4 separate regions of the Mus musculus genome follow, and all the other regions are reported to be linked to region 3. Evidence: microRNA targets listed by miRTarBase, many of them from high-throughput screens and not tested one by one. Region 3 holds a microRNA gene; each other region holds the end of a gene's coding sequence.

Region 1 (8,146 bases), not on the chromosome of region 3:
AATTTTTTTTTTAAATTTTACTATTTTTCATATGTACGTGTGTGCCTGGTGCCTTCAGAGACCAGAAGAGGGCATCAGATACATTAGAGCTGGAGTTGCAAGTGGTTGTGAGCTGCCAAGTAGGTGCTGGATATCAAACCCTGGTCCTCTGGTCCAGGGACAGCAACTGCTCTCAACTGCTGAGCCTTCTCAGTAGCCCTAAAGATGGCAATTAAAACAAAGAAACAAATAAAAACAAGTTTTAAACCATCGAGAGCATCGTAATTTGTTGTTATTTATTTGTTACTGTTATGGTAGCTCTGGGAAGTCTAGGGCCCCTCTCTATGCTAGACCAACACTGTACTGGTCGGCACCCCCGCTTTTATCTTTCCATTTTGAGTTCCTGTTCACCTATTCATCATAGAGGTGTTGACACAGATAGCAGTAGAGCACCCAAGAGAAACTGAGACCACTCTCCACTGAGTACACTAACCCTGGAAGGCTGGCTTCCAGCCTGCCCTCATGCCTACGTGACTCTTGTGGGTTTCCCTGTGTTATCACCCTTCCAAGAACATGAGAAGTAGTTCCCTTTGCAGCAGGGAATTGGGACTTGTGTCGGGCTGAAAGGCATCTCTCTGTTTTCCTTTCCAAATTTGCCTTTATCTGGTATGCCATGCTGTGTGACCCGCCTCCGTGCTGATTGTCTAACTTGGACCCCACAGGTCAATCGTTCTGTTGAGCACAAGAGGAGAAATTAAGCAGCTGAATATCTCGGATTCATTAGCAGTTCTGGGACTGGCCAAGCCAGCACATCTGTACAGCAAAGGTTTGTATTGGCAGTATCCTGGGATGACCCTATGATGCTGCAGTGAATGTATCTTTTTGGTGGTGTTTGTGTGCTAGACTATTCTCATGAGCTCTGCCCGCAGTGAGCATTGTAAAAATTGTTTCTTGATAAAGGACTGTGTCAAAGAAAGTGTGTTGGGATATGGCTTGTCATTTGGGAGGCAGGAGTTCATTGTTGATGTAAGGAAGTGCAGGTGTGCAGGTGTTTTTTTTTTTTTAAATCTATATCTGTATTTATAATTATATATATATATACACACATATAAATATAAAAAATCCTGTCTTTGTTTTGTTCAACTCTGACTCATTTCCCTCGTTATCTTGTAGGAAATAGCTATACACTTTAACTTTTCTCTCCCTCTCTTTTTATAGGTAGTGTCGTATTTTTGGGATTCAGCGGAAACTTCGCACCGTCATGGACGAAGCTGTTCACCAGTCCCGATGAGCAGGGCCTCGGAGTGCTTGAGCAGTTTCTCCCGTTGCAGATGGAGGAATATGGGTGCTCCCGGACCGGCAGTGTCCACAGAAGAGACCTTGACCTGTTACAGCAGGCTTTGAAAGTGCTTTAGAGACTTGGTTGTAATTTAAGTGCTGGGAAAGAAAAAAAAAATGTGAACTAACTTATTTAATTTATGGCATTTTAAGACAACACTGTTAACCCGATGGAACCATTTTCCTGTTTGATAGAAAAGGGAGAGAAGGAATCCAAGCAGTTACCTGAGTGTCAGCTTGCAGGCCTTGGCACTGTGCAGGTGGTAGAGCCCTTTTGTCTTCCTGAGGCTGCTGCGTTCAGAGAGCAGTTGGTCTCGTGGCCCTTGCTTTGACAAGCACATCGGGGGTGCTTTGCTTTTTGTATAGTGGGGTGCAGGGAGTCCAAGGGCTCCTTGAACTTGCTCCTTCGAGGACTGGCTGCTCTAGCATTTCAGATACTTGAAGTCCAATGCTCAGTCCTGCGCTAACTCCAGTCGCTGCCCTGTTCAGTGATGTCTGGGGCTCATTTCTGTACAGCCCACGAGGGTTTTATGTGATGCTAGATATGGTTTTAAGTGGCAACTCAGGCCCAGCACATGTCCTTTTTGCCTGGTCATGTGCTCTTTTTATTCACTTGTATACTGATTACTTTTGAGGGTTCACCTTTCAAAGAGGGAACCTTATTGGGACAAAAGGGCTTTTGAAATTTTTTAGATCTGTAACCATTGAGGAAAAAAAAAGAAAGAAAGAAACAACAACATAAACCTATTACTTGCATCCAGGTGGAACTTTTTCTGCAGCTTTAATCCTTAACCTGTCTTGACCTTTAAAACGCAGAGCGGAACTGAATTAATTTTCTTTAAAAGCAGCAAGCCACTTCCTAAACTGTAAAACTCTTGTCATTTGAACTTGCAAAAGAAAGCCAGGTGTGGTGGTGCACGCCTTTGATCACAGCACTCCAGGAGCAGGTGGATCTCTGAGAGTTTGAGGCTAGCCTGGTCTACGTAGTGATCCAGGACAGCCAGGGCTACGTAGAGAAACCCTGTCTCAAAAGAAACAAAACAAAACAAAACAAAACAAAATCACTCTGTCAACAAAAGCTAACTTGCAAAAGGGAAACCTGTCCTTGGTTTTGGTCTTGTACCTGTGCTTTGTTGTCTTGTTGTGTGGATTTTTTTTTTTTCCAAGCGGCTCTGCTCATTGTCCTACCAGAAAATCCCAGAGAGTTTCCCGCTTGCTCCTCCATAAATATTGTATTCAAGGAAAGAAAGGAGATGCCTTCTTAGGGTGGAATCATGGAGGCAATGGACATGATCTTCTTTGTAGCCTTTAAAAGAGGGAGTCTCTTAGTGAATGTAGCTTTCAAAGACAAGAAGAAAGGACTCTGGGTCTCCCAGTGCTGCTTCTACTGGCCCTTTCTTCAGCCAGTGGGGACACATGTGGCAAAGGATGCTGGCTCTGCAGCCAAGAGGGAAGATGGCATCAGAATGCTGCTGTGCTGCCCAAAGGCGGGTGGCTGAATAGCCAGGCTGACGGTAGCAATTGAGTGCAGAAAAGTTCATCTTCCTCCGTGGAGGGCCGAGGCTGATGCCTGTATGTTGTGTCCAGGAGACATTCTAGGACAGCTCTGTGACTTGTGTAACTTTACAGAACATGCTACCTCAAAGTGCTGTGACAAACCATTTGGACTGTAGTGCTCACAGGATGGGCACGTGTCTTAATCAAAGTTTGGTTACTTGTTTATCCGGGTTTTTTGGATGTGGGGTTTTTTGTTTGTATTTTTTTTTCTTTTTCTTTCATTCTTTTTTTTTTTCTTTTTTTTTTGTACAGTGAGATCTTACCTATTAAATATATTTAGTGGGTCATGGTTCCTGAAGGTGAGTGAATTGATTGTGTGTGCAGATGTGTGTGTGTTATGACTTAAATATATTTGTTTTGTGCTGTTTTAGAGTTCCTTTTTTATATATATTTGGAGAAAGTATGCAAGTTTCAAGGCACTCAGTGTTTCTGATTTTTATGTACTAATAATTAGGGCCTAAGTTAAATAAATAAAAACGTGTGTGCATGTATTTTATGTATGTGTATTTGTGAATCTCTGTAATTGCTGAGGTCTCAGATTCTAGCTTTAAAGAAGTTAGTGGCAGTAGGAAAGGTTGACCATTCACACAGCAGATTTGTAAGGCAGAGTTAAAAGGGAATAAGTTTTACGATGAGGGGGAGACCAGGTTTCATTGCATGTTGGATTCACCTGCAGGGTCTAAAAAACCCAGCGGTCTGAATCCCACTGGCTTCTCTCAGATTAGAGTTCATTGATTTTGGGTGTAGCTGGGACATGTGATATCTTTTTTTTTCATTTTAATTTTTTATTAATTTAAGTTTAAGCTCCTTGGGTGATTCCAACATGCAGCCATGTTGGAAACACTGTACGTACAACCCCACTGTTCAGCTTTCATCTGAAAAAATTGTTGTGATTAAAAAACACCTGCACGTGTCTGTATGTTCTTTTGAGACCTCCCTACATTGATCACAGGATTCTCAGTCTTAAAGTATCTTACTGCCGGTACTTTTTAAAAGGCTTTTTCAAATGTACCTTTCTATCTGCGGTCTTTGCTTTTTAGGCACACAGGCAAATGCCCAGGTTTCACTGCATTCTCTTTGTGCTGAGAAAATGTGTTCCAAGGTAATTTACAACTGGGCGGGGGCGCATTTTCTCTCAGGTGAGGGACTTGGCTGGGTTCCCGAAATATGATGGGTTTCCACTCATCAACTGACTAAAGAGAACTATAGTGGCTTTCAGATGTCAACTGATGCCTGTTTTCTGTCTTTGACGGGAGGTCCTGCCTTTGAGTGGCTACCCGAGCTGGTGCTTCGTAGATTATTTTGAAAGGTGACGACTTCAAGTCTGAGAAGATGAAAGACAGGTGCACGGCCTCAAGGCAGATAATTCTCAAGCTTCCTCCAAGCTGATGTTTACAGTCTGGGGTGGAGACAGGCTCAGGGTTCCTCTGTTTGCCAAGTGTACCACATCCTTCTTATATCTTAATACCATTAAGCAGGTTGCTCTTTGTGGAGGAGGGGAGGCCATGGAAGAGATGGACAAGGGCTGAGTGCTCCTGGTAACGGGGTGAAGTAGTGTTTGGAGTAGCCCAGTAGAGAGGAATTCCAGACGAAGGCATGCACTTAACCCAGTGCTCGTTCCCTTCTGGCAGATAAGTGCTCAGGTCCCACTGAGAATACTTATTAGCTCCATTCTGCAGAATTGGACTTCATCCTCTAAATTCTTTCTATTTATTGTTTTGAGGTGAGCTCTTACTTTGTAGCCCAGGCTAGCTTCTTGCTCAAGATCGTCCCTCTTCAGCCTCCCAAGTACTGTGATAGCAGTAGTTTCAACACCCAGCTTCTTTCTCGGGCCTTGTTCAAACCAGACCTCTGGAATTCTTGATGAGGGTTCAAGTACTTACTTAGGCATATTTAATGACATGGAAGAATTCTAGGGTGAAGACCTCTAATAGGGTAACAGATATGACAATAATATTATTATTATTAGGGTAGTAATATTAACAATAATAATATTATTGTTAATGCGATAACAGATTGTAATGGTACTGTCAGTTTGACTTGGTGATGAGCCACATTAGGTTGCTACACATAAGATTGGGCACTCTGGGCTGAAGTTAGTCTGTGTCCTCTCTCCTTATTAGCCCCTCCCCCCTCTCTCTTTCCCTCCCTCCCTCCCTCCCCCCCTCTCTCTTTCCCTCCCTCTTTCCCTCCCCCCTCTCTCCCTCCCTCCCTCCCTCCCTCCCTTCTTCCCTCCCTCTCTCCCTCTCCCCTTTCACTCTCCCTCTTCCCTCTATCACTCTCCCTCTTCCCTCTATCACTCTCCCGCCTGTTTCCCTCTTTCCATCTTTTCCTTTCTCCCTCCATCCTGGGGGTGAATACAGGCCTTACACATGCTGCACAGATGCTCTACATGTGAGTCTAGACCCCAAGTATTTCAACCTTCAAATGTCCTGGAGAGGCCAGCCCAGGTTCCTTCTTCACAAGTGATGTTACTCCCAGTTTGCTGGGTGGGTGATTCAAGCCATTCAGAAACGAAGGTTCGAAGGTTCTTTCACTTCCCTTTAGCTTCAGTGTGAAGAAGCTAGCTGATTAAAGGCGCTCCCCTGGGGCCTGCTGGGCGCTTTATTGTTAGATGGTATAAGGAGACTCACCTTCTGAATGAGCAACTGTGCCCCAGAAGAGCTCCAAAAACATTAGCTACATGATGAAAATGCTTTAGCTGAAAATACGATGAAGGTTGGGGAGTATGCATGGATGATTTAAAAAAAAATTCCTTAATAGACAAAATGATTGTCTTATATAAAGGTCACCCCCAGAAAAGGTCAGGAGCTATGATCATGGTTTTATGATCAAAGTTAACAAACTGAACTGATGAATTTTTGCTTTCTTATTTTCTAGTTTTTTCCAATGTATGTTGTGAAGTTTTGATATACCCATGTATCCATTAAGTAAGACTATACCTACTCCTTGAAGATTCATCATTCATTATGGTGAATACATTCAAACTTCTCATTACTTTGAGGTCTTTAATACATTATTGTCGGTGGAGAAGTGAGTTCTGTTGTGTGCCTTGGTAATGTTGAAGGACCCTTTGGCCCACCAGGACCCCAGAATCCCACTCTTAAATCCTTTCCTGAAAAAGTTGGCTGAGCCTTGATCTTGGGGGAAAGGCCCACTGGTCGAGTTCCTTGTCTTGTTTGTGGAATGTGTCAACATTTGGAGAACTTAAAAAATATATAATGAAAAAAACAAAAAAAAAAAAACTGTAGCAGTCACGTGAGCCACTTGACCGCACAGGCTCTGCCCTTCGCCCACCCCACGGGCATCTCCAGTAGGTGGAACTGGCCTTGAAATTGCAGCACAGGCTCTCCAGGTGCTGCTTAGGAAGGCTGCAGTGTGAAAGCCCCATAGGACCCAGTAATGCACTCATTTCTTCTCCACACTTCCTCCAGTAGGAACACACCCCGCTGCACTTGGAGTACGGTGAGTGCATTCATAGCTTACTGGCTCAATCTTTCACCATTGTCTCCCCCTCCATCCCCCACCCCCTACCCCAAATTTGCTTTGATAGATTACTGCTAGGCAGGTTTGATGGCCATCAGGGTCTCTGTGGCAATTACTGAGGCAAACTTTTGTATGAAGCCCAGGATCAGGTTTCCCCTTTCCCTTAATGATTTCCGCAATTCTCACTGTTAACATTATTCCTTTGGCTACGGTTATTTCCTACTTAGAACTCTTAGGCATCCTTTGGATTTTGCAAAAAAAAAAAAATTTGTAGTTTTTGTAAGAACTAGAAATAAAAATACACATTAGCTATGATTAGACCACACGATGACAGCATAGGTGTCTTGGCTTTGGAAATAGAATTATTTTGTGTGTATCACTGCTCCTTTAATACAGATGTGTTGTCTTAAGGTGGACGAATGGTTAGAGACAAGCATTTGCTTTGTAAGCCCATGCCTTTCCCTACATGACCTTCATGGAAGTTGGCAGGAGGTGATTGCACGGACTTGGGGATAAGGACATTGGTCTTGCCGAGGAAAGAGTGAGATCTTGGGTGGGCATGCTCAGTTTCTCTTGGATCGGCTCATCAGCACCTACTTACTGGGGGAAGAACCCAGGCTTCTGAAGGAGGGCAAGTCTCAGAAGGTAAGGAGAATCAGCAACTCCCAACATGGGCAAGAGAAGAAAGTGCTGATGGAAAAGAAGGCCCATGAAAAGAGAAATCTTGTTGATTTAATATATATGTATATATACATATAAATATATATATGTAGACATACTTTTTAAATAAAATATTTTATATAAAAATACATATATACACACAGACACATATATACAATACTGTGTGTGTGTATATATATAAACATACACATACATCTATGTGTATGTATATGTATACTTCTGAAGACCGCTTAAGGAAGACAGCTCTTAGCAGTTATAGGCTGGAGGCAGTGAAATGCTTGGTAGTTATTTGGTATAGGTATGATGGGTATTTTGATGAGCACCTTAGGTCTGATGCCACTAAAGGCATTTAGTGGTGTTACTGGGAGCAGCTTCCTACCTCCAATCCTCAGCTTTCTCTCTTGTCAAGCAGTACTATAAACACGTGTAATTGAATGAAAGTGGCCTTGACTCACAAACAGCTGGCAATCTGAAACACCTGGTGGGTTTCACATCCTTATACATTCTTTAGTATTTTCTAACAGTTAATGGACTAGGAACTTGATTTTTAAACACATTTCCAAGATGGCGGAGGGCACACTGAGACTGCCCTGTGCTGCTTAGTCTCTGCCTTTGTTTTACTTGTTTCTGGACAGCAGCACATGGAGTTAGGCAGAACCTGCTTAGGGAACCGGTTTGAACACCCACAGGCAGGAGGATTGCATTTATGCTGGTGGTTGTGAGGGTACCACAGCTCAGTAACCCAGCTGTTACAAACCAGAATTCTGAAATGTGGAAATGACTACAGTGAAAGTATGCGGCCACACCCATTTTACGGTTGGGCTGTATAGCATTCTGCTCTTGCTATTCATGTGAGGGGAAACTTGAGTCCAGCTAACAGTTTGTCACTTCCAACCCCTTTTACCATGAAGCAGGTTCTCAACTTGTGGGTCCCAACCCCTTTAGGGTCAAACAGTCCTTTCACAGGGTTTGCCTAAGACCATTGGAAATACAGATATTTACACTACGATTCATAACAGAAGCAAAATTATAGTTATGAAGTAGCAAGGGAAATAGTTTTATGGTTGGTTATTACTACAACATGAGGGACTGTATTAAAGGGTTG
Region 2 (8,146 bases), not on the chromosome of region 3:
TCTCTTATCAATGAAGAAAATGCCCCAAAGGCTTGCCTATAGGCCAGTCTAATATACTCAGTTGAGTAAATATCAGATGACTTTGATCAGATGAATCCAGCTTTTGTCAAAATGACAAACAACAACAACAAAAACCTAACCAGTGCAAATGTATCTATCTAAAAACTCAAAATATGACTTTATTTGGTTTAGTATCTTTATATATGTAACTAGTTAATATAAGGTCACATTAGGTTAATTAGTTGACTGTGGTACTTACAGAAGCACCAAATTAAGATAATAGAAGGCTGCCACAAGAAGGCTAAGGCAGACTCTGAGATTCAGCTACAAGCCAAGAAATGCCAAACACTTTGTAAACCACTGGCAGCTAGGGGGTGGGCATGGTAATTCTGCCCAGTCCTCTGACACGTTTATTTGGGGCACTTAGTCATCTGTATCATGCACGTTTTTGTTATTCTAAGTTACTAAGTATGTGGTAGTTTGTAACAAGGTTCTGAGGAAACTAATATAGGGGAACCCAAGGAATAATTCCTAATAAGTACAAAGTTTCCTTTGGGGGATGATAAAATATTCTAAAATTAGGCTGATGATTGGATATGCTGAATAGAGTAAAACCCTCTAACAATACGGTTTAAATTGGGGACTTATATAGTACATGAATTATATCTAAATGAATGTATTTATTCATAAAAAACCCTATAAGCATTGATTGAATGCTTTCTGTTTTCAAAAGGATTGAGGATATGAGGAAGCGGCATGTAGAGACTCCCCAGCCTCCTTTACTCCCTGCTCCAGGTAAGTGAACAAGTGGTAGATGATGGGAGGAGATGCTTAGGGAGGGGAAACATGTGTTGGTTTCTCTGCTGCTCTGCTTTGGGGAGTTCTTGCTGACCTCTCCTGTCAGTAGCCCACATCACTCTGAGGTCAAAGGAAAAATGTGCTGGTGGAGGTGGCTCCCAGCAATGTAGTCAAATATGGTGGTATCAGTAAGTCTCAGCACCTTGTTAGCCCCCCTTTCCATTTGAGGCCTACCTAGGCTGTGCATGAAGTACTTACATAGTTCATCACACTCCTGTGTTCTTTTTTCTCAGCTCACCACTCCTTTCATTTGGCCTTGTCCAACCAGCGGAGGAGCCCTCCTGAAGAACCTCCTGACTTCTGTTGTCCGAAGTGCCAGTATCAGGCTCCTGATATGGACACTCTACAGATACATGTCATGGAGTGCATAGAGTAGGAGCAGCAGATGCAAGGCCACTTGCAGTACTATGTCCTGATCTGTGTGACTTGTGCTTTCCTGTTTTACCTGCATAGTCCACACTTAAGGGCTTGCTTTAGCCCTTTGGTCCCCCATTTAGGGTAGACAGCCCCATTCAGGGCTTTTTTTTTTCTGTGTGCCTGATCCAGTTTGCCTCTGGTGGCTTCTTCCCTCTTCTCCCATAGTCCTAGGGAGTCTAGAATGGAGGCCAGGGGCTCTTAGGGAGCATCCCTTCTCCAAGCAGGTCTGGGTACAGCTTTTCTTCTCTCCAACTGGTACCTTTCTTGCCGGTGAACTGCAGGCTCTCCTCCCAGGGCATGTGGCACTTGGGTCTATAACATGTGTTACCTCTGGTAGACATGTGGAAAGTATTCTGTCCTTTTGTTACTGTAATTAATGGTGTAGTGAAAGTACTTGTACACTGATCTGTGTGTACCTTTAGGACAGATGCTTAGATGTGACATTGGATCCTTGCCCTGGAGGAGGTGGGCAGACCTTTGGATTTTTGCCATCTCTAAGATATACCATTCTTTACTAAAGAATTTGCTTAAGTGTCTTTTTCTGGGGCATGTGGGCCCTTTTTAATTCCTCTGATGTAACTTGGATTTTCATAATTCCTACCCATTTTTCTGTTGGGACATTGCCATTTGTTCTTGGGCTTTGTAGAGCTTTTTGATTATCAGTCAGGTTGGTTTTGACTATTACAGAAGTGCACCCCTTGTTCCACATTGATTGTTAGTGTTTTGGGGCCTAGAAGCTGTTTTATACTCCTACTTACCCATTCTTTACTCCTAGTTTTTTGACTTTGGAATTATGACTGCTTTGTCAACAGAAAGGTATTTCACATGTATGCTTTCCTTTTTCTAGCCCCAGTGTGCTCTTGTTTTTGCCAAGCACATTGTTACCTTCTGTGAATGGTGGTGGCCATAGTTCATCACACTCCTGGAGTTTGTGATCACATGTTCTTCACCAGCCAAAATGTCCTAGGGAACCATTTAGCAGTGACTGACTGATCACAGAAAAGGGAACACTTCACTTGTTTTGCAAGGTTCTAGACATTTTGTGGGACCTTACCGTCATTGGTATTAGACCTGCAGTTCTAGTAAAGGAAAGGAAGTTGTAGTTGAGAAAGCAATAAATATGCCTTGCTCATTCCTTAGGTCTAAATCCTTCCTGCCCTCCTGTAAGCTTTCATGGTTCTGAGTGGTATCTGTGAATCCATCCCGGGGGCTTTTATTTACATGGTTTCTTTCCCATTAAGAGTGAGAAGGCTAAGTAGAATTCAGATTATAAAAAAGGATTTAAAAAGTAATCCTGAGCTGGGGGCTTTCTCGGAATTTTCAGGGGATGCAGAGTAAGTTTTCCATTTCCTAATTCCCAGGTATCTATCAGAAAGATCTTTAGGAAAATGTTAAAGGAACAAACAAGTTCTTTGCTTATGTGTTTTCATTTAAATACCTAATCTATAATTTTCCTTTAGGAATACTATTGGTTTAGGTTGAGTCCAGTTTTGTGGTGGTATATATCACTTTTCTATAGCTGCTTTAAAATTTTTCCTAAACTTGGAAGAGCAAGAACAACAACAACAACAACAACAACAACAAATCACTCTTTCCTGTCTGGAAGCCACATATTAAGTTTTTTCTGGAGGCTGTGAGAATCAATTCCAGGCATTCTCTTAACTTTCAGTGGTTTGTGGTAGTCCTTGGTGTTGCTTGGCTCATAGACCCATCACTCCAGTTTCTGGTTCTAGGGCCTTGTGGTTTCTTCCTCTCTTCTGTCTCATAAGGAAACCATGTTGTGCATGTGGGGTCTATTTGATTAGATTAAGGAGGATCTCCAGTTCAAGACCCTTAACTCATTCCACCTACCAAGATCCTTTCCCCAAATAAAGTCTTGTTCTCACATTATGGGGGTTTGGGCTTATATAACCCGGAGTATGGATATCATCAGAACCTGAGTAAATGCAGCCCAAAGGCAGGGCCTTTAAAGCCTTGTAATTCTGCTAGAGAGACCTGGTCTCTAGGGTGATGACCAGTAGTCTTCAGAGTTTGAAGGCAGACCCTTGTCAGTGCTTGATGCTGTTAGTAGGGTCAGTGGGAATGATTGGGAAAGGCAGGTTGGCTATAGTAGGAGAGAGCTGTTGGGCTGCCTGCAGTGGCTGCATGAGCTTCACGCTTCTTGGATAAACAGAGATGCATAGGTGCATTTCTGACCAGTACTTTATCCTGAAAGGGTCCCAGAAAGCAGGTGTGACCCAGGTTACACAGTAGGAAGCTTGAAAACATGGGCTTCATGCACTGGTCAAGACAAATCTGAGGGTGGCACAAGGTAATGGTTGGGACCTAGTACCCTTCTAGAAGGTGGGAGCCCTTGCCACCGACTTACCCTGCAGTATGGTGTATGATTAACCGTACATCAAAGATTTGAGATTCTACCATCTTTTTGACATGAGACATGCTCTTTTCTTTTGCAGAATTACTTAAGCTAGAACTGGAAAAAGTGGTCGTTCCATTCCCCTCAGGAATTAGTCTACTTGCTTTTGCACAAATTTTATGTGGCCTCTGGCAGACAACTTTTAGATCCATACAGCTAGAAGCATGCCCTTTCCAGAAGACCTGTTCTGGAATAGATAGTGCTTCTTATGTATGCTCTCTTCCTGTTGGCCCATGCCCAAGAGAAAACCAGAGAGCCAGTAAGACAGTACAGAGTGCTTCACCTACTGAAGTAATAAACGATAAGGCAGATTGTAGGTAGGAATGATATCTAAAAAGGAACAATTGCAGCCCTGTGTGTGACACCCTCAGGCAAGGTAAGGCCTACCTTTTAGTGTTTCCCCTTTCAAGGTGGGAGTTTGGAGAGATGAACAAGCACTTTGGAAGCATCCCCAGCCCTCTTTACCTGACAACAGTTTGGTCCTCACAGTGACTGCTTCATTGGAGTGCCTCTCCAGTGTTATGGCACCATCATCTGTTACCACCCAAGGCTGTGATGAAATAAGATACAACATATCCGATGACACAGGCCTGCATGGCTAGCATCTTGAACATTTTATTACATGAACATTCTCTGTACGATGGTATAAAAAGGCCCGAGGATTAAATTATGTATAAAATATGAAATAAAGAAGTAAGACTTTCAAGCATGCACTCTGTCCTCCCTTGTTGGATGTAGGGGTAGGATTGCCAGTAACAAAGGTTTTCTTTGCTATTTCTATCTCTTTAATTCCCCTGTATTACATAGGAAGTAGCTGTTACACACAGCTCTGAGGTTTCTTCTGCCTATGGCTGAGGAAAGCTCATTATTGACACAACAGAGTGGTGAAAGGGGCCAAGTCAACTAATTTGGGGCTTGAATTTCCTGTGGTTGCAGCAACAAAGTACCACACGTTAGGGAGCTTAGGCAACAGATTTCCTCTCCCTGTTAAGGATGGCAGGCATCTGAGAAGTGGGTTCCTCATAAGGGATAACCCATTCCAGTGCCCCTCTCCAGTGTGTGGCAGGTCCCAGAAATTCTTAGTTTTCTCTAGTTGTACCTGCATCTCTGCCTCTGCCACTTTTGTCACATGGCCATCTTGTGTTTCCTTTTTATAAGCACACCAGTGTTGTATACAGGTGGGTATTTGGAAACATGGAAGCATTTTGTTCAGTATCTAGTGACAGTGATGGAAAGAGATGATTTGCAGAGAAGGTCAGAGCAGCATGAGGGTCTTAGGTATGGAGCTGCAGCCAACATTATGGACATGGAAGAGAGGGATTGCTGGACTTTTGGTTTCCTGCCTGGGTACCTGGACAATCTATCTACCATTGGGAGGACTAGGTAACAGTGGAAGTTAGTTATGAGAGAAGTTGTTTGATGTTCAATTCTGATCTAGCCAGGCTCAGTGTGAGATGTCCTGGGTCCCTTCATCTTGCCTTGACTGTTAGGTGCAGTTTCATATTGAAACTGCAGGCTCTTTTTTATCCATTGCTACTGGCAACCAGTGTGATCTGGTAAATCTGTTTCCACTTTGCTTAGTGCTCTCCACTGATTTTCTGTTACTTGAGACCTAAACTCCATCTTCAGCCTTGTGTTGATCTAATGTCATGTCAACTTCTCTAAAAGCTCAGCCAATTCTACACTGGCCTTCTATTCCTTTCCTCAAACCACTTAGCACTTTTTTTTTTTAAATTTTTTTAGATTTATTTATTTATTTATTATATGTAAGTACACTGTAGTTGTCTTCAGACACTCCAGAAAAGGAGTCAGATCTTGTTACGGATGGTTGTGAGCCACCATGTGGTTGCTGGGATTTGAACTCCAGACCTTTGGAAGAGCAGTAGGGTGCTCTTACCCACTGAGCCATCTCACCAGCCCAGCACTTCTGTTTCTTAAGGCTGTTGCTCCTGTTGTCTCCTTTGCTGAGAAAGTTCTGTTCCCTAATTTGTACTGTTGACTACTTTTTGTCATCCATATAAGTGTAAACAAAAGTTCTTTCATCTGATCTCTTCATCCTAAATCATACTACCCTGTTTTAACTCACATTACTACCACTGACCTTTTCTAGTGTTTTTTTCTTTTCTACCACTAGAGGGAGACAGAAGCCGTATCAATTTAGTCGTATACTCAACACAGGGAAACTGCATTTACTGATGGCTGAGCTTGTCTGAGACGATATCAGGATTCCCCTGCCAATATCTTCATGGACGTCACTTGTCACCATAATTGGTGACTTATAGAAGTTATTAATGTACTAGAAATTATAGTACAGAAATCTTATTTTAGGACTATAGTACCAATAGCCTTTTTTTGTGGTGCTGGGGATAGAACCCAGGGTCTTTCACATGTAAGCATTCATACCATCACTGAGCTACAATCCCTGGTTATCAGCTTCTCACTTTATTTACCTTCCCCTGACTTTGACAGCCCTGTCTAGTTTGGAACTTATTATGTAATCCACGATGGCCTTGAATTTACAGCCATCCTCAGCCTCTCCAGTGCTAGGATTATAAATATATCTGACTAGCTTATTTTTTTCATTTTGTTCAGGTTTTTAATGAGTGTCTTGGTTTCAGATATGAAAAACAGAATTTGGAAGAAAGCCAGTTGGGCCAGTCTGTGGTAGAGCATGCACTCAAAGTTGAAGCAAGATGTTAATGAGTTCTAGGCTGGCTTAGGCTTCATAGCAAGATCCTATCTCATAAAACAAAAAGTTAACTGGTGATTCCCTGGAGGTGAGAGGGGTGAGGAGAGAGTGATAGTTAATGAATACAAAGTTCTTTGAGGGAAAATGAGAATATTCTGAAATTGGCTATGGCGATACTCATACATTTGTGAATGTGCAAGGAACACTTCAGATGAATGACTTTTGTTGTATATGGATTAGGTTGCAATAAAACTGGCATTTAAAATGTTATCTAAGCCCTGCAGTTTTCCAGAACTTTTTGTGACAACGAAGATGATATAAAAAGAGTTGAATATTTGCTTTTGTTAAATTTAATTTTATTAATTTTTACTTATTCACTTTATATCTCGCTCACTGTCCCATTCCTGGTCACCCCCTCCCACAACCCTTCTCCCCAAATATTTGCTTTTGAAGCTGTTTGACAGGTGAACTATTGATGAGCTCTTGGCATTGTTCCACTAAGTAGAAGGGCAGAGCTGGAGGTGAGACATGTGTGACTGACTTTGTCTCACAAAATAGAATGATCACACCATAGCCTTTCTTCTGAGTTCCACAATTGGAACTAACTGAAGACTAGCAGTTGCCTCTAAATCAGCATGGACTGGACAACACATGGGCCCTACCTACTACACCAATAGAGGAACAAAATTAAGTGGGCAAGTATGATAGGTAGTGGCCAGTGGGAAAGAAGAGACCACCTAGGCACAGCAGCTTTTTTGATTTCACTGGTGCCAAGTATCCTAGGATCAGGGCTGGGATGGAATTTGATTTGTCAGTCTGGCAGGCCCATCCATGCTCTTATGGATTTAAAGATTGGCTCCATAGTTAAGTATATTAATGGAAAAGGGACACAGATGTGAAAAGGGTAAGGATATTTGCTCTAAATATTTTGTGTGACTGAAAGAAGAGTTTAGGATGGGTTACAATGTCACAATGGGCTGAGTTCTATGACCACTGTCTAGTGGTTCTTGACCTGTGGGTTGCAACCCTTTTGGGGTCACATATCAGATATCCTGCGTGTCAGATATTTACATTATGATGCATAACAGTAGCAAAATTACAGTTGTGGAGTAGCAATATGAAAATTAATGGGTGGGGGCTTACTACGGCATGACGAACTGTATTAAAGGTTGCAGCATTAGGAACGTTGAGAACCACTATGTGGGGCCCATTTTGGCTATAATAGGCAGAGTCACAGAAAGTGTAAGGAACTTACATCTGTGTTAGAATGAAAGGGAATCACACTATGTAGGAATCAGTGCATTAATGGGGAGACTTCACACTTGAAGATACAAAAGAGGGACTCCAAGCTGTAGAGGATCAGGTTTTGTGTTTACTAGAGAATTGACAGGTTCCAGGGTTAGGACAGAGAAAGCACAAGGAGCCAAATAATATTGTCCCAGAAATATAAGGATGCTCTTAAAGAAAAACTGAGACACATTTAGCTGCATTAGGCATAAAAATCAAAATGACTGCAGGCTGAAATAAAAGTGGGCACATAACAATAGCAACTGTTATTGCTATTGTGCCAGAATTACCTTGATAATTCTGAAGGTATCTTGAAGGGAAGCAGCAAGAATTTAATATATTTAGCAAATGATAGAACATTGCTGATAGTTATCAGGGTGAGATATTGGATTTTTCATTTAAAAATACTTATTTGCAAATTTTTTTCTCTTTTTTTCTTTTTATTTTGTTTGCAAATTATTTTTAGTTATGTATATGTA
Region 3 (8,146 bases):
TGCTCTAGGCCAGGTCATCTCAGGTACACATTTCGGTGTCACAGTCCCAGGACTACTGCTGCCACGAGGCTTTGCTGCAGATAACCGAGGCCCATGGGTTGGGAGGTGACTTACCGCACCTAGCTAGAGATGGAGGCAGTGCAGTTTAAAGCTGATACTCTCTGCATACCCTTCCCCAGGTGGATCTGCATTGTGCTCTCCCATTCACTGAGCTACCGTGCTTCCCTGTGAGGCCTGTTTGCTCAAGGGCCAACTATATCATTTTCTCGTTTCCTGTTTCCTGAGCCCAGCAGACCAATGGCCCTCTTCACCCTGCCCACAGCCGCATCTGGATAAGGACCCAGGACTGGGCAGCAGACAGACAGGCTTTAAGTGGACTCACATCTAAGGACCCACTGTAAGCAACTGATAACAGGCTGCAGCTATGAGCCTAAGAGCCAGGAGGCTCAGAGAACAGGGCTGAGTGTGGGGGATACCAAGCACCCAGGGCATAGCATGAGGAACTCCCAGGGGTCTACTCAGAGCCCCAGGCAGTGTTTGTACCTGGGCCACCTTCCGGACTACATCACTGGCCACACCCAGGCCCTGCACAAAGGAACGTGCAGCCACAAAGGCACGGGTGGCCCGCAGGCGCAGTTCTCGAGGGGCATCTCCAAACGGCCGCAGTGCCTCCGCCTGCTTGCCCAGGCAGTCCAGGTAGTCATCAGGCAGCAGCTGGGGGTGCAGCTGCTTGAAGAGGCGCTCCAGCAGCCGTGCCCAGAACTCGGCCAGCGTCTCCTCAAGGTGCAGGTTGGCCCCACGGTAGTAGAGGCGCAGCTCAGCATATAGGTCCCGGAAGGCACGAGTGTTCTGCGTATACAGGTCCCCAAAGGCCCCAGGGAAAGCCTCCTGCAGTGTGCGCTCCGAGTCATTCAGCAGGCGCTGGAAGTGGTCTGTGCACAGAGGAGAGGCAATGACCCCCTGAGGGGGAGGCTCTGCTTCTCTGCCAATCTACTCATGGGCTTGACAGAATATCCCCCGCTTCTCAGAGCCTGCTTATGCAGTCAATAAAAGCTGGACACCATATTGCAGAGGCTTCCTCAGGCTCTCCTCACCAGAGGTGCAGAAGTCAGGAGTGGCCTCTCTAGGGTCATAGGCGCATGTGTACTTAGGTCTCTAGCTCCAGAGGCCATTTCTGAGTTGGACCTTAGGAACCAACAGATGCTGAGATTCACTGATTCTGGGAGGGACTGTAGTGGGAGTGGTGGGAAAGAAACCAGAGTGAGCCTTGCCTAGCTGCCAACTGCTCTGTCTTCCACCCCAATGCTCTTGGTTGCTCCAAGCAGCCCTCCTCCTCCTCCTGTTCTCCAGCAAACCCGCCCTGCTGCAAACCAGCACCCCAGATAGATACTTTTCGGTGAGGGTGTAAACATGTGAATATGTGCCGCAGATTTTGAGGTTGGGGAAATGTCACTGTACTACACATCTCTGGGATGGAGCCCTGATTGTGGCATCCTCAAGGTCTGAGGCTGCTCAGCTCCTCTCTCCCACACCGAGTAATAAAGGAAGGCTTAGCAACAAGTGTCAGAGTCTGCAAATGGTTAGGGCTGTCTGATCTGCTGTGATTTCTAAACCCTTGAAGCTATGGCCCAGCTGTGGCTAGACAAGCTGTGCGTGCTTCCCCTCTTTGCCTTTACAGTTTGTATTTTCCCAGTTCCACCCCACTGCAGGGGCTACATCTTTGCCTGGGCCCTGCCTGTATCTCTTCCGGAGTTAGTGAACCTCTGTTTAAGGAGGGGACTTTCTAGGGGAATCTTATGACCCTAGGGCCCCACAGAGTCCCTGTGAAACATTCCATCACTGTTGGAGCTGCTGCCCATATACAGTGGCCACATGATTGTAAAAGTCGCTAACCTGGTCTCTTGAAGTGCACAGGAGTCTTTCTTGCCCTGGCCAAGAGGTGGTTACCTCAGGACAAGCCCTGCACTTTCAGCCTTCAGTCTGAGCTTCCTGACGGGGGGGACGGTAGCTGGGATAGTGGGCCTACCACGGGGACCCCAGAAGATGCAGGTGATACAGGTCAGCCCTCTGTAGGTCTGGAGGGGAACTCTGCTTGGGACACAGAAGCACCTCAAGCCCAGCTGTTCCCCTCTGAGGAGCAGGCCCATTCTCCCTAGGGCCCTGACAATAACTTGGGTTCATTGTTCTATTCAAGCCTGGCAGGAAGAGGGAGACCCTCCTATGGAGTTAGCCATCCAAATCCTAGCCTCTGGCTCCTCCCCCACACTCACAAGTGCCCACTTACCATCGATGCCATGCAGCTGGGTGGCCAGTGTGGCCTGCAGGGCGCGGCTGCTGTCATGGAGTGCGCTCTCCAGCTCCATTCGGCTGTGGTTGGCCAAATTCTCCTCCATCTCACTAGTACAGCAAGTGTAGCCCTGGGGGCAGATCCGCAGGTGCTCACCTGTGGGACGGCAAAGGGTGTCGTGAGGGGGAACAGTGGTCCAGGATGCTCTGCCCAAGATGGGGCTCAGCTCAGGTTAGGAGCCCTTTGTGAAGGCAGAGATGGGGAGAGGGGGCACATTGTAGGGCAAAGCTGGGCTCCAGTGTCTCTGACCTCCCAGGGCCTCTGATTAAGATTCAGGGATGGGGTACCACAGGTTATCATAGTTATCAGAGGGCTGAGCCTCAGACTACGAGTACTGTGTGACATAGTCCAGCATCTCAGGAATGCAATGAGAGTCCTAGCAGGGCTCCCTGAGAGCCAGCTCAGCCCTCACATAGAGGGAGAGGCTGCCCGACTTAGGTTGGGGACCTGATAGAGGCTTTCGAGCCTGGCAGGTGCCTCTGCCCGGGGGAGGAAGAAGAAATCCAGCCTCTTCTTAGCTCAGGCCAGTCTCAGAGGCCACCTGACTGACAGCAGAGTGGAGTGCCCCATGAATGTTCTGCAGGGCCTGTGTCAGCATTCTGCAAGGGCCCTGGGTACCATTCTGGGGTGAAGAAAAGCATGCTCTGCGCAGGCACTGGGTCCCAAACAGAGGCCACTCAACCCTGGCCTGAGGTTCCCACTAGCTGGACACATTCCCAGTCCCCATAGTGTTCTGGCTGAAACTCCCTCCCCCGCCATCTATCCTGGGCTGGTGAGCTGACCTGTCAGCCCTTGGTGGCACTGCAGCAGTACCATTCAGGACAATATCAACTGCCACTTGCTGACAGAGGGTTGCTTTGGGCCTACAATTGGCCTCAAAGTGTCTACCATGGAGCCCTTACAGCACACACCTGAGAGTCTCCTGGCATCAGAAGAAAACCTCAATGGGAGAGGAAACCTTCTGCTAAGGCTATAGTGACACCAATTTACAGGGAATCTGAGGCTTGGAGACTGGCTTTTGTCCCAGTTGGGGGCTGAGCTACTCAGGACTGGGCCTATGCCTGACCCCACTCTGTTCTACTCCCTTCTCATAGGGTCACACTGCTGTCTCTGAGCCTAAAGACAGAGCCCTACAGTCCCTACAAGGGACTGGGTGGATCAAAAAGGCAGAGGCAGTGGCCCAGCCTTAGGTGAAAGGTCTGAGAAGAGGGAGCGGTCAGCAGGGATTCTAGAAGCTTCCCTCGTGCAGGAATGCTGATTTTGATGTTATGGGGAGCCAGTGAAATGCAGAGTTTCCAGAGCCCAGAGTAGGTGCCAGGGCTGGTACCTGGGCTTTATCCTTGCTGACGGGTTGATGGGAAAGGTGGGATGTGAAGAACTCCAGGATGTGATACTGCAGGCTGCCATCAGAGGTGGGGGACTGAGCCAGAGGGGAGTGGACATCTTGTCAAGAAGCATGTGGGGGCAGGAACCTGTGACCTCAGGATGAGGCCATTATGTGTTAGGCCCCATTTCTATGAACCCCCCTCCCCTGAAGCCAACTGGGAGTGGAGATCTCTGACTAAGGAGAGATTCTGAGGTTGCATTCACCCTTAAGAGCTTGTTACATGATCACATCCTTGTCTTTAGCACTTAGTAAGCACAAGCATTTATGTGTGCTGGATGGTGTGTGTGTGTGTGTGTGTGTGTGTGTGTGTGTGTGTGTGCATATTGCAGAGTGGAACTGTGTACAGCCTCTGTGATTTTGACCTGACATGGAAGGTATATATCCCCAGATGCCACCCCTCCATCCCTAGGTAGGGCAACCTTCAGATCTGCTCTTCCAGGTCTCAGGTTGAGGGCCTGGCCTAGCCCTTCTCCTGCTTACTAAGGCATGGGAGCTGTGCTTCATCCCAGAACCCTGGGGACTTTTGGCCTCACAGGCTGAGTCCCACCTGGTTTCAGGGTCCCCAAAGGTCCACAGAGCAGGGCAGTGGCTGACAGCTGGTAGAAGAACAGAAGGAATTGTATTCTGATTCAAGGGTGCTTGGGGGAGTCAAGAGAAAAGGGAGTCAGAGATGGGAGGTGCACACGGAATGCCCCTCCCACCACTCCCCTACCTGGTACCCTCTGCTCCTACCACACTGCTTCCTCCTGCCCAGGGCACCTGCCTTTCACAGGGACTGCAGGTCCTGGGAAGCAACATGTTATTAAGCACCCAACCTCAAGAAAGGGCTGGGTTGGTGCCCAGACAGCTGGGAGCTGCAAGCCTAGGTCCTGCCACTTGATCTGCATCCATTGATTGATTCCCTTCCTTCTAGAGTAGGGAGGGCTAAGCAGAGATTATCCACCCGCAAGCAGGCTACAGGCACAACAAGGTACAGGGCCCAGCAGGGCCTTCTATTTGCTCTGCTCCGGGCCATGGTCTGCTGGGCTGAGGTGATATGCCACATCTCTCTCTTTGAGTGGTGGGGTTTAAGGGTTTTTCTGTTAGAGGAGGAATCATGGGGGGCACTGTAGAGGATGACCCATCTCTGACTTCAGCAGTGAGTGGGGAAACAGCTATGGGGATGGAGGCTGCAGGTATCAGGATGGGGCCATCCTGGGCTCAGCTGGGACAGAGGCACTCTGTGTGTGTAGGCCAAAGGTTTTAGGTGGAAATATTGAGGACCAGGCTGCACAACAGAGCACTGGCAAGAGAGAGGTGGGCACAGCCTTACTGGCCCCTCCCATGGTTTCTGCTCCTCTGACATCCTTCTCCATCTTAGTGGTCCCAATTGCCACCCCTCACCACATAGACAGAAGAACGAAGCTGAAACAGGAAGAAGTTAATTAAGGACACACACTCAGAAACAGAAACTCGCCCCACTCCACGGCAGGTTCTGGATAAATGGGACCCATGAGACTTTTGGCCAGCTACTATGAGCATACCCCATCCAATGGCCTCCCCTGCAGCCCCCTGGCTCTGCCTGGCCACCTCACCCAGCCAGCCCGGTGACCTGCGCTGTTCCAGTTGCCCCAGCACCGCCCCCGTCCCTCCCTCCCTCCTCGGACAAACACGGGAGTGAAGACACGGAGCCAGAGCCTGGGCACTGGCCTGAGGGCCCCGGGCAGGCTGGGTCAGGCTGCCCAGAAGCCCATGCATTGGCAGACCTGCTTGCTGAGGGTCAAAGATAGAGGAGCTGAGACCCAGCCCAACTGGAACCATAGGTGCTCAACATCAGAACAGCTAAGGCAGGCTCTGCAAAGCTCTCTACACTTCCAGGAAAGCACTGGAGTACATACCCATCGTAGGAACGTCTCTCCGTTCTACCCTACCAGCAGCTTCCTCCTTGCCAGCCCTGAAGGTGGGTGGGAGTGGAGCGGCAGTATTGTTCCCCACTGACCCCGCCCATCTCTCTCAGAGTTGGTTTCATTTTTCCAGATCTTTCCCTCCTGGGTTTTTGGGGGGCACTACCCTCCCCTGGCACTCACAGGTTTTATTTGGGGAAGGGGGTTGTTTGTTAATGGCAGGTTTTCCCCACTTTAGTCCCTTTTCTAAGCCTTGTCCCCAACCCCAAAGCCTCTCAAATTCCAAGACCCCTGCTTCTTGTGACACTTAGCATGGCACCCCATTGCAGCAAACCCATGGGCAGCAACTGCTCATTTACCTCCTCCCAAATCTGGCTGCTTGCACCCCACCCCCGGCCCCCCACTATTCTCCAGAGCAGACAGCAGCTTGTGGCTTCCTACCTTTCAGGGTCACACCCTCCTGCCACCTGCTGACAGCTCCAGCTCCTGCTCCTCCCTCACAGAGGCAGCATCCCTCTTGGTCATCATCCACAGTCACCCCAGGACTTTAGCAGAGTCCAGCATCCTGATGCTACCCACAGACATCTCTGACCTGACCTCCCCTGACACTTCAGGGACCCAATGCCTTGAAACCCTCCACCTTCTGAAGATAATGCAGAGTCATGCTACCCCGCCTCTGGTCCATTCTTCTAGAAGCTTCCTGTGCTCACGGGGGAGATGCAGAGTGGAAAGCCCACTTCCCTCACGGCCCCTAAAACACTCCAGCTGGCACGGCTTGGGGGAGTGTAGGGGCATTCGGAGTATAATCTCTCAGCACCGCAGATAAGGGAGAGGCACAGGCTACACTCCCCTCCCCAGCTGCTGGCTCCTAGAGCAGGCCTTTCTGTTGACTGGTAGGTTAGAAGTAAACCAGCCCTCTGTGCTCCTGGGTTTTCCAGCCCCAGAGGCTGAGAGTCTCCAGGACGTGACAGCCTGGAGCAAATGGCCCAGCTTTCTGGGGGACTACTCACTGCCCAGGCTCCAGGGGCATTTTCCCATTGCTTGCTCCTGTTCCCCAACAAACCTGTCTAGTCCCCGGGGGTCACACCCGAAGGAAGACATTTCAACTCCATCTCTGAAATTGGAAAAGCATCAAGCACAATCCCCTCCCCGCCCCCACCTCACTCCCAATACTTTTCCACCCTCCTGGATGCCTTCATGATTCCCGAGCCCCTGCCTCCGGTTCACCCAAATGGCAACATCACCAAGAAGAACCTCCATCACGAACAGGGACCCCCTAACTGGGGGGCATCGGCTGCTGGCACTTCTATGGACTCGATGGGAGGGGTCATCTCCGGGCAGGCAAGGGCTCCTGCCAGCTGCCTCTCCAGCATCAGGCCAGGCCCTGGGCGAACAAAGCCTGGGCGACACCTGCAGCTCCGACCGACCGCTGCCTCCTCTGCAACGGGGATGGTTCTGTACAGCTGGAGCCGGTAAGATAAGCCGGAGCTGCAGATGCAGGCGCCTGCTCTGGCGCCGCAGTGAGGAGGGGGCGCTGGTGCAGTGGGCGCGGCTGGTGCGGAGAGCTGAGTGCTGCGGCAGGCAGAGGGGGGCATTTGGAGGGGGGCTGCGGAAAGCGGGAGATGGAGGGAGAGGAGAGAGGGCGATGTGATTGGCGGGGAAGGGGCTTGCCGCAGTGGGCGCGGCGGCAGAAAAAGGAGGGAGAAAAGCGAGCGCCATGGCTGTGGCGGCGGGGGCGGGGTGAAAGGGGGGATGGGTTCAGTAGAGGAAGGGGGACTTACTGCGGAAAGGGGGCTGCGGCAGCCTGAGGGGTGCAGGGGGAGGGATGGGGTAGAGAGGAATATCTAGGATGGTGCAGCACAACTTTAGGGAGATGGGGATGGGATGGAGGTGGGAGCTGAGAGACATGAGTGGACATCAGGGCTGATGACCAAGCTCTTGATGGGAAGGGGATGAGACAGAGATAGGCTGTAGTGGGGGTACAGCTGCGAGAGAATGGAACTGAAGATGAGAGGTGAATGCATGGAGGAGGGGGGATGCAGACAGGAATGGTGATAGAGATGGTGCCTAGCAGACGTAGCCTGGTAGCTTAGCGGACACCCTCCTGGCCTTAGAACCCCCTTCTCCATGGCCGCTCCAATAGTGTCCCCAGCTGTGGATGCACTCCGGATAGCAAGGGCGATTCCAGCGCCAGTGAAGTGGTCTGGCAATTGCAGAGCAGCAGAACTCAGCAGGAAAGGCCAAGATGAGGCTAGGGGTCTCGGCGTGGTGTGGTGGATCCCACAACCTAGGGCAGCAGGGCAGTGGCAGTCTCACTGATGCACAAGGCTGAAGGCAGCTTCCTGGGACGCACCTCCTCCCGCAACCTTCACTGGCACATTCAGCACCGCCCCCCCCCACCCCCCGTGTCCCTGGAAACAGTAGGCAGCTGCGGACCCCCCCCCCCCCCCACCGTGCTGGCATTTCAAAGGACTTGTGGATCAAATCTCTGCCTCTGGGCTAGCCCCAGCCCAGAGGTGGGGGGGGGGG
Region 4 (8,146 bases), not on the chromosome of region 3:
CAAGCCTACTTTTTTAGGAGGAGTGAGAATGACAATCCTGGCTGTCCTGGGACTCACTCTGTAGACCAGACTTGGCCCCATACTTAGAGATCCAACTGTTTCTGCCTGAGATTAAAGGCTTGTGCCACCATACCCAGCTTTTTAACTTTTTAAAAAATTTTAATTATTTTTAAGGCTCAGGCTGGCCTTGCTCCTGAGTTCAAAAAAAGTTGTGCCTCTGCTTGTCTGAGACTGAAAGCACCCACCACAGTGCTGCCCTGTGAGGAAGGTTTTCATTTTGTCTTTTTAAATATATTTCTTTCCACTTTGTGTACTTGAGAATACATGATACAAGCATAGTATAGGACTCTGTACATTTAAATTATAAACTCAGTCATGTGACCTAATTAATTAAGGTAATGTGTTTATGTGTACTTTTTCTCCAAACAGATTTGCAACATTGTACAAGTCACCAAGCCAGAAGGAGTCTACGATACCATTTCAGATCACAGTCAGTATCATTTCATCACAGTGAGATTTTGCAGTTGTTGGGCAGTAACTATCTGAAGAGGTCATCTACAAATTGTTTCTGTTAATTTTATAAGCAGCAAGCATATTTGAGGATAGTCTAGATGTGAGAACACCATCAAAATAGTATTTACACAGTACTGCAGTCACAATTGAACTGAAGTTTATCTTTGAGAACAAATGAAATATTTATATATTTATGTATGTTCCATGGCATATGTAAAATCTCTCTTTTATGTTAAAAGTTTTCAGAAAGGAAAAATGTATAACGGGGCATGATGGCACATGCCTGGACTTGGGAGACTGAAGCCGGCGGATCAGTTGTACAAGGCCAGCCTAGTCAGCATGAGATCCTGTCTCAAAAATACCAACAACTAAAAACCAGGTTTCTACAGGAATATTACTAATTTTGGCCTGTAGATAGTAGCAGCCCTTTGAAACATCGTTAACTTCCTGAGCGTTTCTGTCACTGGGCTCTAGGCCCTAGCTGGCCTCACACTCACTACAGAGCTGAGCATGGCCTGGAGCTTCTTTGTTTGTTTTTGTTTCTTTTGAGCCAGGGTTTCTCTGGGTAGCCCTGATTGTCCAGGACCTCACTCTGTAGACCAGGCTGGCCTCACTCCCGTATCCACCTGCCTCTGCCTCCCAAGCGCTGGGATCAAAGGCAAGCGCCACCGCACTCAGCAGTCTCTTATTTTATAAAGAGAAAACTAGAAATGGAAAGCAGTTCTGAAAGTGAATTTTCCACTTAGTTTTTACACTAACCTCACTTAACTTACATTAACCTGTTCTCAATTATTTTGTCTTGTTTGAGACGAGGTCTTGTTATTTAGTCCAGACTGGCATTGAACTTTTGACCCTCCTGCCTCCGCTGCCTAAGTGATGCTATTACAGATGCATGCCACATGCCAGGCAGAATAATTTTACTATAAAGTGATTTGTGAAGTGCCTACGTGGCTATACACACTACTTTCCACTTCTCCTAGCCAAGGCGCCATACAGCTTTTTAGGATTCTTTCTAGAGAGCTTTTTTGTTGTTAACTTGGACATCACCACTCATCTACGTACAGGTCAGGTCTTAGAAAGCATCCTTATGCAGTGTTATTTTTTTTTAATGTGTGTATAGAAGAGCATATATAAAATGCTCTAATAAAACTCTGGGTTAGACCACCTGCAAAGTTTATCCTCTTTATTCAATGATTAATAAATTCTCTCCCAAGAATAACATAGCTTATTTAAAGACTATTTGGAAAATTAATCTTTTTAAATTGTCTTTTATGTGTGTGTGTATATATATATTTTATGTGTGTATTTCTCTACCTTGCAGCCTCAGGGATTTAGAGACGCTGTTGTCACTGCTGCCTCATCACAGACAGAGAGTTCTTTGAATTTCCGGAAACGGTCACGAGAACCAGAGGAAGAATGCTGACCAAATGCTGATGCCAGTGTATCCAGTTAACTGATGATGTGCTAGTCAGAGTGTAGTGTGTGTGTGTGTGTGTGTGCACTGTGTGTGTGTGTGCACTGTGTGTGTGTGTGTGCACTGTGTGTGTGCGGGTGCCTACAAAAGCAAGCGGAGGGTGGTGGATCTCGTGGAACTGGAGTTAGAAGTAACTGAACCACCATGAAGGTGCTGAGAACCAGAACCTAGTCCTGCAAGAACCAAAAATGTTCCCAACTGCTGAGCCATCCATCTCTCCAGCTCCTCCACCCTGTCTCTGAGGCAGGGTCTTCTGTTTTGTCTCTTCATTCTCCAGGTCTGCACACTTTAACTACTTCTGTTTTGGCCTCCTGTCTCACTAGGAACCCTGGGATGCAGGTGTGTAGCACACTGTGGGCTCTGAGAATTGAACTCAGGTCGTCAGGCTTGCAGAGCAAGGGCTTTTACCCACTGAACATCTTTCTAGGCCCTCCTTAAATTTTAAGAAAAAAATCTCTCCCTGAACGTGGAGCTCACTGCTTCAGGGCCACCTATCTACCCCAGCAGCACCAAGATGCACACATGTGCTGCACTGCACCAGCTTTTATTATATGCCGTCCTCATGCCTGCATGTCAGGCACTTTACCCATGGAGCTGTTTCCCTAGCTCCTGAAAAGATTTTCTGAAGCACTGTTCTATAATTATATTTTAATGTGTTTTTATTTTGAGTAATGTGGAAAGCTGACCTTATGTTACCTATCTGGATTTACCACCCAGAGTGGAAAATTTCTTTGTCAATTGCCTAAAAAATAATAGAAATAAAACACTATAATATGTTTGAAGTGTGTGTATATGTATCTGTGTGTTTGCCAACTGTGTGGAGGCCTTCAAAGCATGGAAGAGGGCATCATGTCCCCTAGAACTGGAGTTATATGTGGTTGGCTGCCAGATATGGGATCTTAAGTAATTTCTGAGTCATGTCTCTGTCCCTCCATATTCTTAAATGTAGCTTTGGGGGCCTAGAGAGAGGACGCAGGAGTTAAGAGCACTTGTTGCTCTTTTAGAAGACCTGGATCAGTTATCAGCACCAAGTAACTCCAGTTCCAGGGGATCTGACCCCCCCCCTCCTCAGCCCTCCACGGACACTAAGCATGTATATAGTATACATACATACTTGTAGGCAGAACACTCAAACAAATACGAAATAAAATTAAAAATAAACAAATGTAGCTTTGAAAGCAATTAACATATCACTGTTTAGTTAGTTGAGTTGGTTTGGTTTGCTGACTCCTGGTCTGTGTGTCCTCCTTGCTGCTGGGTTGCCCAGAGCACCTCCTGCAAGCCATTGTTGGAGGCAGCACACAGTCTGTAATAGGGGTTGAAGGTCTGTGCCTCCCCTCCAAGTCTTTGTGCCTGGGGACAGCTAAGCCCTAGAGAGAGGCAGAGCCAGGTTTGGCTCCAAGTCAGGGCCAAGAGTATGTATGGGAGAGGCTGGAAGAGAAGGCCTTCTCTGAGAGATTTAGGTCTGAAGCCCCTCCCCACCCTGGAATCCTTGATGAAGAAATAGATGGTCCTTTCTTTGATGGTGGATGTGAATGCATACACCTTACTCAAGGTGAACCAGGGATTAAATACCTTTTGCAGGAAGAAATGCCCAGGAAGGGGAAGCTCATTGGCTGAACACTCAGGGCCTGTGTAGCTACTTCATTAGCATGGAGAACTCCAGGTTCTTATGCTGTGTGACTGATGGGTGTTATGATTACGTGTTCCAGAACAGATTCCCTGGGGTTTGAACGTGTGTGTGTGTGTGTGTGTGTGTGTGTGTGTGTGTGTGTGTGTGTGTGTGTGTGTGTGTGGTGGTGGTGGTGTTTTGAATAGATTTGGCCTACACAGACTCATATATTTGAATGCTTGGCCTTTGGGGAGTGGCACTATTAGGTGTAACGTTGGAATAGTGTGGCCTTTGTAGGAGGTAATGTGTCACTGTGGGGGCAGATTTTTAGGTCTCCAATGCTCAAGTCATGCCCAGTGTGACATACAATCTCCTGCTGTCTGTGGATCAAACTATAGAACTCTCAGCTCCTCTAGTACCATGTCTGTCTGCATGCCGCCATGCTTTCCACCATGATGATAATGGACCTTTGGCAGCCCCAAATTAATTTTTTTTTTCCTTTAAAAAAGTTGCTATGGTCATGTTGTCTCTTTATAGCAATAAAACCCAAACTAAGACTCTGTGTGTGTATACATCTTTCTATTTAGCCCTGGCTGGCCTGGAATTCACTATGTAGATCTCTTGTCAAACAAAAGAGATCTACCTGTCTGCCTCTAGGCTTAAAGGAGTACAGTCCATTCCTATAGTTAATTTTGTGGATGGTTTACAAATTTGAGCTGATGAAATTAGTTTTAGTGACCTCAGTCTATTTGTTTAATTTTTGTTATTTGTCATTTTAAAGGGAAAATTTCAAAGCTATGTGTAGCCATTGAAATATGTCCTCTAGAATAGTTAGATTATGGTAAACTTTGTTTGTTTTGGGGTTTTTTTTGTTTTTGTTTTTGTTTTTGAGACAGGGTTTCTCTGTATAGCCCTGGCTGTCCTGGAACTCACTTTGTAGACCAGGCTGGCCTCGAACTCAGAAATCCACCTGCCTCTGCCTCCCGAGTGCTATGGTAAACTTTAAATGTAGATTATTATTTATATCTACGTTTTTGAAGTGCAGTGTGAATAAATAAAAATTCTGGACTTTTAAAAATCATTTTTATGAACATTGGTGTGTTGCCTGCATGCATATCTGAGTGAGGGTGTCAGATCCCCTGGAGCTAGAATTACAGACATCATTTAAAAGGACTAGAGAGATGTCTCAGTGGTTAAGAGCACCTACTGTTCTTCCCAAGGACCTGAGTTCCCAGCATCTATGTCAGCAGCTCATTTCCTCTCCAGGGGCTCAAATACCCTCTTTTAGCCTTCTTGAGAACCTGTGCACATATGGCATGCACTCACCCAGATACATATACAGAAATGAAATATTTTAAAACATCTTAAAATGTAGGATATTTGGTCACACTGTGAACCCTGAAATTGTGTATGTATTGAACAAAACTTTATAGATTTGCTGGGCCTTGGCCCTAACACTCACCTTTAATCTCAAGCAATGAAGGTAAAGTTTGGTTCTCTGTGGAGGGAGAAATTCTAATTTTTTTTTTTTAACTACTGGAGTCAAACCCTGAACTTGAACTTGTGTATGCTACATGGTACACAAGCCACTCTACCACAGAGCTATATCCCAGCCCCAGAAAAAATGTACTTTTAACAATTGAATATCATATATATTTGATAGTGTTTTCAAGATTCTCATAGTAAGTGGTATTTTCTGTCCTAAGCTGAACACTAAGAAAGTTCTTCATTGTGACTCTTGTGGAGTTTACATATGGGCTAACTCTAGCTTATTAGGTGTGTGCATGAAAGCAGAACTCGTAACATTCACACCAGGGCAATCTCAAGCAAGCATGTGGCCATCCTAATCACACAACTGGTTTGAGATAACTGCTTTAGCAGTAGGTTGATTATAATGGCATTAACTGATCATCATTAAAGTTGCCCATCATTTTGTAGTCTGTCCATTCAGGCCTCATAAAGCCAAGAGTGTCAAAGTGTTCTGAGTAGTAAACACTGTATCTTCAAGCACTGGGTAATGGGGATTCTTGCTTTTTCTTTCCTATTTTATCTTGTGTGAGGCAAGGTCTCACTGCAGTCAGATAGACTTTGACTTCACATTTGTATCTTCATCGTCAATGGGAAGACTGTAGAGGGATGCGCCTCCATACCTGGGTTCTGCTTGTACTAAGCATAATGCTTTTCTTTGAGGTGCTATGGGACAAACTTAGGTTATCACTGTGGTATCAGATTGCCGTACTGGAAAAGACCCTGAGACCCTGATTATTTTTTATTAGATATTTTTTTCATTTACATTTCAAATGCTATCCCGAAAGTTCTCTATACCCCCCCCCAGAGACCCTGATTATAAAACAAAGCCAAGTGCTTATGCGTGTAATGCCTTTAAAATAAATTTACATAAGAGCTTTTAAAGTTCCTATTGCTGAAAATATGTTTTTCCAGGACAAAAAAAAAAACAGATTTTCTATATACCTTTTTTTTTTTTTTTTAAAGACTGCAACTGCCACAGAATAAGTGACTTTTCTAGCCAGGCATGGGAAGTGGAGGCAGGAGGAGTTAAGTCACCCTAGGCTTGATAGCAAGTTTGATGCTGGCCTGAACTACATGAATGCCTGTCTGTCTGTCTCCACCACCCCCCTTTTCACTTCTAGAGACTAGAAATCTGATGCCCAATGTAGTCAAGTTTTGGTGAAAGCTTTCTCCCCAGCTTGCTTGAGAGACATCTACCCTCAGTACCTGGGTATGGAAGTCACCAGTTGTATCAGAGTAGGAGAAAATAGTTTTGCTTTTTTTTTTTTTTTTTTTTTGTTGTTGTTTTTTGAGACAGGGTTTCTCTGTGTAGCCCTGGCTGTCCTGGAACTCACTTTGTAGACCAGGCTGGCCTCGAACTCAGAAATTTGCCTGCCTCTGCCTCCTGAGTGCTGGGATTAAAGACATGCACCACCACGCCCGGCTAGTTTTGCTTTTTATGTGTAGGAGTGCTTTGCCCTGTGAGTAGGTATGTGTACCATGTGCCTGCCTGGTGTTTGTGGGAGTCAAAAGGGCTTTGCATGACCAGCAACTGGAGTTAGAGATGGCTGGGAGCCACCATGTGAATCAAACCAGGCTCTCTGTAAGAGCAATAAGTGTTCTTAACTCCTAAGCCAGATCTTTACTCCAGGATCCAACTATTTTACTTTTTTGTCTTTTTTGTTTGTTTTGTTTGTTTGGTTGGTTGGTTGGTTTTTCAAGACAGGGTTTCTCTGTGTAGCCCAGGCTGTCCTGGAACTCACTCTGTAGATCAGGCTGGCCTTGAACTCACTCTGTAGACCAGACTGACCTTAAACTCAGAGATATCTATCTGCCTCCTGAGTGCTGAGATTAAAGGTGTGTGCCACCAATACCTGGCTGTTATTTTAATTGGCATATACATTGTACAAAGTAATGTGTTTCCTGAAGACATTTTTATTCTAGTATATCATGACTCATTCCCAGTGTTTTTATGTCATGTCTGTTTTACCACGTTTTGGACATAACTAGTACAACAGTAGCTTACTTTAAAAACTCACTTTGGAAGAACAAATACCAGAAATTTACACTGTTTATTGCTGTACTTGGAAAATCAATTTGATTCCAAGTAAGTTTAGGTATTTAATATGATAAAATATAAAGTTAAAAGCGCACACAACCTAAATCAGCACCTGGTTTTGTTTATTTTTAGGATACAAGCTTAACATTTTAAATATAGTTATTTCATATCTACATTGCTAAGAAAGAGATTATTCCATCAGGGGCCAGGAAGATGCTGCATTCAGTAAAATGCTTGCCATGTAGGGAGGGTTTGAGTTCCATCCATGGAACCCACATGAAAAAACAAAAAGCAAAAACTGTGTATGCCTGTGGTCTCAGTACTGAGGAGGATGAGATGGGCAGATCACTGGAGTCCACGGGCCAGTCAGCCCAGCTGAACCTGTGAGCCTGGTCCAATGAGGCCCTGTCTTTTTATACATAAGTCCACTGTAGCTGTCTTCAGATACACCAGAAGAGGGCATCAGATCTCATTACAGATGGTTGTGAGCTACTATGTAGTTGCTGGGATTTGAACTCAGGACCTCTGGAAGAGCAGTCAGTGATCTTAACAACTGAGCCATCTCTCCAGCCTGAGGCCCCGTCTTAAAAGAGCAGGGTGTACAGCAACTGGAGAATGCACTGAGTTGTTATCTAGCCTATACATGCATACACACACGTGCGTATACTTAAGAAAATCATAACTCAGACGATGGTGGCACATGCCTTTAATCCCAGCATTGAAGAGGCAAAGGCAAGTGGATTTCTATGAGTTCGAGGCCAACCTGGTCTACAGCATGAGTTCCAGGACAGCCAGGGCTATATAAAGAAACCCTGTTTCAAAAAGAAAGAGAGGTGGGGGGAGAGAGAGAGAGAGAGAGAGAGAGAGAGAGAGAGAGAGAGAGAGAGAGAGAGAGAGAGAGAGAAGAAGAAGAAGAAGAAGAAGAAGAAGAAGAAGAAGAAGAAGAAGAAGAAGAAGAAGAAAAGAAGAAGAGGAAGAA

What was found. The annotated mature microRNA mmu-miR-149-5p reads UCUGGCUCCGUGUCUUCACUCCC and lies in region 3 at 5,387-5,409, opposite strand. An mRNA with a match to its seed (bases 2 to 7 or 8) in the 3' UTR can be bound and repressed. Matches are read on the target gene's strand: a 7mer-m8 pairs with bases 2 to 8, a 7mer-A1 pairs with bases 2 to 7 and ends in A, and an 8mer does both.
Region 1: miRTarBase lists Cemip2 as a target of mmu-miR-149-5p. The part of its 3' UTR that is shown has no 7-base or 8-base seed match.
Region 2: the mRNA of Ikbkg is a reported target of mmu-miR-149-5p. Seed matches in the 3' UTR shown: 7mer-m8 at 3,945-3,951.
Region 4: miRTarBase lists Rad51c as a target of mmu-miR-149-5p. Seed matches in the 3' UTR shown: 7mer-m8 at 3,371-3,377.

The regions. Positions count from the first base shown.
Region 1 is chr19:21,854,958-21,863,103 of GRCm38, forward strand. Cemip2 (cell migration inducing hyaluronidase 2) reads left to right here. Exons shown (of 24, transcript NM_001033759.2): 23 at 702-805; 24 at 1,198-3,403. The coding sequence ends at 1,394. Among named protein-coding and RNA genes, the nearest start is that of Cemip2, 81 kb to the left of the region's middle.
Region 2 is chrX:74,447,126-74,455,271 of GRCm38, forward strand. It overlaps Ikbkg (inhibitor of kappaB kinase gamma), which reads left to right. Exons shown (of 10, transcript NM_010547.2): 9 at 734-795; 10 at 1,092-6,653. The coding sequence ends at 1,234. Among named protein-coding and RNA genes, the nearest start is that of Ikbkg, 22 kb to the left of the region's middle.
Region 3 is chr1:92,847,644-92,855,789 of GRCm38, reverse strand. Mir149 (microRNA 149) reads right to left here and starts at 5,412; the gene lies at 5,347-5,412. Gpc1 (glypican 1) reads right to left here. Exons shown (of 9, transcript NM_016696.5): 2 at 2,285-2,443; 3 at 544-932. It overlaps Gm29480 (predicted gene 29480), which reads left to right and starts at 6,993. Exons shown (of 4, transcript NR_166170.1): 1 at 6,993-7,089.
Region 4 is chr11:87,373,176-87,381,321 of GRCm38, reverse strand. Rad51c (RAD51 paralog C) reads left to right here. Exons shown (of 9, transcript NM_053269.4): 8 at 430-490; 9 at 1,835-4,677. The coding sequence ends at 1,936. Among named protein-coding and RNA genes, the nearest start is that of Ppm1e, 18 kb to the right of the region's middle.